Linked DNA regions of Bombyx mori. The protein of the gene in region 1 purifies or fractionates together with the protein of each later gene. This does not show direct contact. Links are inferred from orthologs where the notes say so. Each region holds a gene or a part of one and is shown on either strand. Other genes may lie near its edges. The genes, in order: enhancer of mRNA-decapping protein 4 and mRNA-decapping enzyme 1B.

Region 1 (3,875 bases):
TCGTTTCATTTAGAATAAGTTGCTTTCTTTTCTTTTCTGGTTGTTCCCTCAATGCTGAGGATTATGACTGTATGTCAATTTTCTCCACTCGGTTCGGTTCTGCGCCATATGTACCACTCCCTGTATCTGGCCTCCAGTCACCTCCTTGAGTTGATCCACCCATCTAGCTGGCGCTCTTCCTCTAGCGCGCTTCCCCTCCATTTGCTAAGCTGCCTCAAATTCAATTCTAGAATAAGATAATTAGAAAAAGTACCTCCCCCTTCATTCCCTTGATGAGAGCACGACGATCAGTTCCTGGTTCAAGGTTGTACACAACTCTAACCATACCACTGCAAGTACCTGGGTTAGCTGTATTAGGAGCTGTAAATAAAATTTAAAACCAAACATTAGTTGGCTTTTAAAAACAAAATCTGGACAAAATCCTGAATGTTCTGTGTGGTCTGCCAGTAGCCATCATACAACACAAGATATTTTGCAGATGCCTGTACCTCGCTTACGACATATTCAAGACAAGCTTGCATATATACAAATTCCAAACAACAACATTCGGATCGTTTGTCTACTTTGCAATATCACCCACTGGGTGAAAGATCTTCCTTTCGTCGTAAACCTACATGTGCAATCTACAGTTTTACAAATACTACACGATCCTCTAAAGAATAAAAAGAGGTCAACAATAATTGAGAAACAGCAAAACTGTGTTGAAAGAAATTTAAATTAAATGAAATTATAATTTGGTAATTAAAAATTATTTCTTAATAAAAACAAAAAAATAGTACAATTATAACAGATTGGTAAATTCTTCATTCATGTAACATTAATGTTTGATAATCATTATAGCTTTAGCCATTTCTAAACTAAACAAACAGACAGATTGATAATCAAAAAAGTGGTATTATAGGGGAGCTTTTCACTGGTGGTAGGACCTCTTGTGAGTCCGTACTGGTAGGTACCACCACCCTGCCTATTTCTGCCGTGAAGCAGTAATGCGTTTCGGTTTGAAGGGTGGGGCAGCCGTTGTAACTATACTGAGATCTTAGAACTTATATCTCAAGGTGGGTGGCGCATTTACGTTGTAGATGTCCATGGGCTCCAGTAACCACTTAACACCCCGTGGGCTGTGAGCTCGTCCACCCATCTAAGCAATAAAAAAAAAAAAAAAAAAAACTAGACACGCGACTTATTCATTATATATTTGTGGCAGAAATAGGCAGGACATTGGTTATCTTTGTAGGTTCTCCACAAGCTGTATCAGTAAATGTCAGTTGGTGATCATAGCATGCTAGTATGATACTCAGAGAGTGCTACCACCCAATCTTACTTATTTTCCTTAGTCCTTCTTTATGATATATCAAATCAAAAGAGACACTGCACAATCAAGGTACTCATTAAATTTAAGTACATTAATTACATAATATGTAAACATTCATGTTATGTCAGAACATGCCCCAGGTAAACAGGAATACAGAATACATTATGTCACAGACTATTAATATCTGGTAATCTTAAAACTAAGCTTTACTGGAGAACAAACATGATCAAAGCAATTACCTTTAATAGAGTATGCCAGGTACTTTCCACTGATGTGAATGGCTAGAAGCTGCCCAGGATAAAACTTGGGCTCCCAGTTATAATCTACAAGATTCTTCAACTTCACTTTTGAGCTACCATGATCATGGTTACCGGTGTTGATAGTCACGACCACATCCGAAGAGTAAACTTCTATACAGCTCATACCATCTCCTTCAGCAAATGCTCTAGAAGATTTAAAGTTATAGATTCTATAACTTTGATTTGCCAATATTCATTTAAAACATTTTTATTCTTAGATTTTAATTTTATTTTGTCAACATAGGTGTGCCGCTACACAATCAACAAGGTAAGCCTGAAGAAGCCAGGACACTGTAGTATCACCAGAAATAGGTCTTAATTATTTATATTATTATATATAATACATATTTAATATTAATTGAATACCAGTTGAAGATAATAATTACAAAACTTTCAAATATTTTATTGACTATGAAGTGATGAATTTTGTATTGTTTTCATTGTTTGATGTTCGTAACTAGCATTAAATTAATAAACCTATAGTTAGCAAAATTAAGGTACGGGCTGTAGATTCAGCGACGATAGCATCGCGGCACCGTAGCGTCCAATAGAAACAGATGAGGAAGCAGTTGCAGTCAGTTGCACTTTTAAACCGAACTCAGTAAATGTGAGTTTCATCAACCAATAATATCAGATGCTCTCCAGCTATGTTAAGAGAATGACTGAGACGACTTTTACACTTCCAGAATATTTTAGAACATGACGCGATCCCGCTATAGGTTATAATTACGTGAATTGTGTGTGTAATCGACATTTATACTTATAAAGTTAATGAAATACAAGAACATCGTTGTTTCAATACTGCAGGCATTAAATTATAAGAGCATTACAACTTTAGATTACTCACATCGTCTGAGTTGTATCTGAAAGCTTAGGTAACATGGTTGGTGGTTGCATTTTACGTCTATTTTTCAGTTTTCCACATGAATTCCTTAGTAGAAACTGAATTAATACTGTAATCGCAAAAATTATGCAGATTTGAAGAATGCAAACCGCAAATCGCAGAACCTGTGCATTGACAAATTGCAAAAATTGTTGAATTGACAATTGTTTTCAGTGTTGCCAGGGATCACTGTCACTTTCATTTCTTCAATTATTACCTATCTTGTTATCTTCTCGATTAACTGTGAACAGCATTATTATTAGTATTAACTGTGAATAATATTATTATTTACACACATAAAGTTAGACTGTGTTGTGTGAAGAATGAAATGAAATGAATTTTCTGGAACAGTAATCAGGTTGCAATGTATTTGAATGAACCCAATGGAGTAAAACGAAATGAGATAAAATGAATTAATGTAGCATTAAAAGGATGGCGACTCACTGAAATTTCAGTAGACTTTTGAAAGAACTCGAGAAGCCACATCTAACGGCTATAATTCATTTTCTCACACGAATGGACATGCAAATGTTTATTTGAGCTTTGTATAATTCACTTCCATTGTGTCACTGTCAGCATTAGTCTATGTTGTCAGTGTCAGAGTGTGAGATAACAGTTTCGTTATATATTAAGTGTATAATCTATGGTTTCGTTGACAGCGCAGGTGGTATTGGCAGGTTGAATTGATTTTCACAAAAATGGTGAGGATATTTATTCGTAAATAAATTATAAATTTATTATACAAATCTTCAAAAGGTAAACTTATGACTTGTTTTTATGTTGTAGTCGTTAACGGACAAGATATCGATGCTCATGTCGCGTCCGGGGGGTGACAATGCCCAGAAAGATGACGTTCCTACTTGGATGCGATATGCTGGACGGGGTCTTGGAACAGTTGGCAGCTTCAGTTAGTATTCTTATTTGTCACTATGATCAAGTTCAAAAAGTACCACAATGAAATCTTCGAAATGACTAAACTCAAGGCTTAGATTAGAATTAACAAAGACACTGAAATGGAATTATGTTATGTCCACTACATTTTAGATATGTATATTTTTTATTCTAATAATCAACCAATAATAATAATGGAAGAATCCAACTCAAATACCAAGTACACTTTTAATTACGACACTTTCACATACCATTTCTTAATTGAGTATAATAGATCAGTTTTTCAAATCATACTGTTTTCCTTGCTTCAAATTATTATTATTTTCCTTATAACTGATAAATGAATTGAAATTATGCTTGGATGAAATTAGATTATAGAAAAAAAATGTAATGATTCATATAATGAATAATAAAAGTTTATTGATGATACTCTGAATTGATATAATTTGTAAAAAAATCTCTAATTACATTAAACCTCAAAATAAATAAT
Region 2 (3,935 bases), on another chromosome or scaffold:
TATATTCAGGGTAAGAACTGTAGCGCTAATTTGACGTATATTAGGTACTTCAAATTTTATTTTTATTTCTTTTATTAAGAACATTTAGTTCATTTAGCTAACACACTTGTTTACCAGACACGCGCATAGTTTCGAATGACGTTGACAAATTGACACTACAAATTGACATTTACTTGACATTTCGTTTGAACTTTGATGTTGATGGGGGCCATAGACATTTCGTTTGAACTTTGATGTTGATGGGGGCCATAGACCTATTGATGGGGGCATATAATGTATGTTAGATAGCATCAACCAAATAATAACTCTTTAACGATAATGGTTCTTCTTTAAATCGTGTCAGACTCTCACTCATAGAACAATTAACAGCATTTTAAAATAAGAATTTTTAAGCTGAATCGTCAAAAATCCCGTGCCGTTGAAAACCTCACGTCTGAGCCTTGGATCTGAAGATAAGGCATGGTGTTTCCTACCTGGTGTAAAGTTCTTAACGGGGCAGATAGACATCGTTTATGCATATTCAACAACATAAGTTCGCCGCCCATCTTGAGATATAAGTTCTAAGGTCTCAATATAGTTACAACGGCTGCCCCACCCTTCAAACCGAAACGCATTACTGCTTCCCGGCAGAAATAAGCAGGGCGGTGGTACCTACCCGTGCGGACTCACAAGAGGTCCTACCACCAGTAAAATTTTTATTAGACTTAGGTCAATACATACATATGTTGCTTGTGTTGATTCCATTAGCACGGGGTATACGTTCCATTAAAGTAAAGCGTAATATGAAAGAATAAAGATGCTATCTCATAATGTAAATGATGAGGTCGGGGGAAAATGGGCTGAAAATTGGTCAGGTATTTTACCATTAAATTCTCGTTTGCTCGTCTTGCTCATTTGCCTCTTAGTTGTTATAAAAAAAAAAAATGTTTTTCATAACAATAAAATAAATTATTTCTTGCAAGTATTGAAATGTGATAACGAATATATATTTAAAAATAAATAAAATTCTAAGTCAGCATGTTCACAATTCAGGTCATTCAATCTCTTCTAAATTTCCAATTTTTTCTCTTATGTGTAGGTCCTTAATGTTAAAGTTGCCAAATTACACAGCACCAATTTGAGATCTCGGAAAGTTTAACGCTGTATGCAATTTTGGGAAATTCTACAATTTAAGCAAACCAGCGTTAAGCAGGGTCTTATGCCGGCCACTCACATGCAGGCAAATATTCGTACATTGTACGAATGTTTGTGCGCATGTGAAGGGCCGTCAAACATTCATTCGCAAACTTAGCAGCTGTGCAAATGGGTTCGGTACTCAATTCGCGAACCCGTTTGCGCTTCCTCCTACACTTGTTTACGATTGTCTCACGAATTTCTCTTCCTTTTTAATTCGTCAATAGAACATTGAAGAGAAAAAGAGTTTTGAATTCTTTCCCAGACATCATTAACAGCCATGCTGTTTTTTATGGGATTTCTTTTGATGAAGATACGCTACACTGTAGACGTCACGAACTATGAAAATGGCGATACGTCCGTTACCTTCGCAATCGTCGGCGCAACTGGGCAAACGAATGTGTGGGAGACTACACGAAGGTTCGCGGTTCGCGCGCTTTGATGTCTGTTAAAAAACCGACACAGCTTGGAAAACCACGAATGTAGCGAAAACTTTGCTTAATCATTTGCAAATGTCGTCCTACACTTGCGGGTTTGCGTATTCGTGCGCATGTGAGTGACCGGTGTTACTGTACTAGGTTTGTTTTGTATCAAAGAGTAAATTAAAAGAAAAAACAAAGCAAAAGTATTATTTCAACAAATTTAAGACAATACCCACATTTTTAATAGAATTAAATATTTTGTTTGCTACCTGCATAATATAAAATATGTACATCCTGATTATGTATGTATACTAGTTTTAATTTTTCTATATTCTAGAATTCCTAGTTTTTGCGTACGAATAGTCTACCTGAATCATTAAAAATAATTAAATACATCCAGATTTCAAAACGTAACCAAAATGGCGAAACTGTTCGTTCTTGTCATTTTGCTGTGATGCTTGTTCGCTGATCAAAACTATTTTATTATTAGTAATATAAAAAATGGCTGACACCGGGTTACGTAGTATGAATTTCGCTGCATTAAAGCGGGCAGATCCATATGCTCGTGAAATTGTCGATAGTGCTACCCACGTTGCCCTTTACACATTTGAAGAGAACGAATGGGAGAAAACCAACATTGAGGGTGCTTTGTTTGTGTACAGTAGAAATGGTGAACCATACCACAGTTTAGTGATTATGAACAGGCTGAACACTAACAACCTAATAGAACCAGTGTCTAAAGGAATTGAACTACAGTTAAAGGAGCCGTTTTTACTATATCGTAACGCCAAGTGCCGCATTTACGGTATATGGTTTTATGATAAGGACGAGTGCGTGCGAGTGGCCACGAAGTTGAACACATTAGTGAAAGAGTCCATAAAACAGTCGCAAGGCGAAACCATGCCACAGAATTCAGTTTACAATTCGTCTACAACTTCAACTCAATCTATAGATATCTTCAGCATGTTGAGTAAAGCGCAAGACGATTTCAATTCTAATAAAGGTGTTGCTGGAAACAAATCCGAATCGACGCCGGCCAAAGCGCCTGACATGACGTCGCAAAGTGTAATGGATTTCTTTGCAAAGGCTGGGAGTGGAGCATCGGCTCAAATGCCTGCAGTGTCTTCATTGCCCTCACCAGGGATATTCGGTCCGCGTGCCACTGATTCCAGAGAAGTACCACAGCTTTTACAGAGGCTCATGAGTAACCCTGCACATTCAGTAGAACATATTGAGAAGCAACAGCGATCTGTTACTCCTCAAGAAGGGCAAAGCTCAAATGGTAATTCTACACTAGATTCTGGTATCAAACCAAATTGTATGTTCTCATTAAAGTCAACTCCTTTGGAGAAGCAAAATCAAAGGATACCAGGATTGAAAAAAGCTCTGGATAGTAGTGATGCTAATGGAATAGTCACCATGGAGAATGAACTCAATTTGATGCACTTATCTTCTCCCAAGACAACATCGCCATTAGCTGCATACTTGAATCAATCTCAAGACATAGGACACACGGTAAGTTCTTATTATGGTAGCAAAGTGGAGGATGTTGGACATTCTTATCCTAAGATTGACTCTGTAACTACTCAGCAGAAACCGGCGCTGATGCCCCCCACAATGTTCACTGCAAGTTCAGGTGGTGATGTCCAGCCATCACCGCAGCCACTCACCAGGAATCAACTCCTTCAGGCCTTTAATTACTTACTCAAACATGATGCAGATTTTGTGAATAAACTTCACGAAGCCTATGTCAAATCGTTTTCAGAAAAAGCATTTTCTGTGTCATAAGATAATCTTTTATGACTGTGGCTGATGTTGCCAGCCATTATTATGATGTACAGTTGTAATATGAAGCATAATCTCTTTAAAAATGTTGTGTAGAACTTGTTGTTTTTTAGTGACTTACCATTTGGACAGAGTATTTTAAATAAGTTTAAAAATATGCAAACCAGTTGTCACTTAATTTTATATAGTGGATGAATTTTAGTGACTCCAGATGAGTGATATTCAGTCAGGTCTTTAATGACACAAATGTTTGTGATATTTTTAGTTACAAGCTAATTGGCTTCAGCTTGATGTTCTGTAAAATCAAACTCATCCAACATCCAGTTACTGTTCTTACACATCCATCATACTTTTAATGTTCTTCTTATCACAAAAAAACGGACAATACATAACAAAGTATACACTTTTCTAAAATATATTAAATCTCGTAGAGATATTCAGCTTTACGTGTTGTTGCAATTGTAATTTTCAAAATATAAGAGACTTGCCAAGCTGCAACATTACTTGATAGGTGTTTTTATGGACTGTAAAAAATATTTTCTATTCGTTTATAAA

What was found.
Region 2: the proteins of enhancer of mRNA-decapping protein 4 (region 1) and mRNA-decapping enzyme 1B purify together in Drosophila melanogaster (affinity purification with western blotting; 4 studies listed by BioGRID). This does not show direct contact. The link is inferred for Bombyx mori from reciprocal best matches to the Drosophila melanogaster genes Ge-1 and DCP1.

The regions. Positions count from the first base shown.
Region 1 is NC_085110.1:1,251,765-1,255,639, reverse strand, and holds the start of enhancer of mRNA-decapping protein 4, read right to left. Parts: upstream 3,055-3,875; 5' UTR 2,939-3,054; intron 2,736-2,938; 5' UTR 2,509-2,735; coding exon 2,459-2,508; intron 1,758-2,458; coding exon 1,552-1,757; intron 361-1,551; coding exon 254-360; intron 1-253. Other genes in the region: calcium channel flower, read left to right, coding at 3,193-3,195, 3,281-3,401. UniProt on the Drosophila melanogaster protein: In the process of mRNA degradation, seems to play a role in mRNA decapping. Required for silencing a subset of endogenous miRNA targets.
Region 2 is NC_085114.1:2,052,468-2,056,402, forward strand, and holds the start of mRNA-decapping enzyme 1B, read left to right. Parts: upstream 1-1,477; 5' UTR 1,478-2,096; coding exon 2,097-3,110; intron 3,111-3,185; coding exon 3,186-3,383; 3' UTR 3,384-3,935.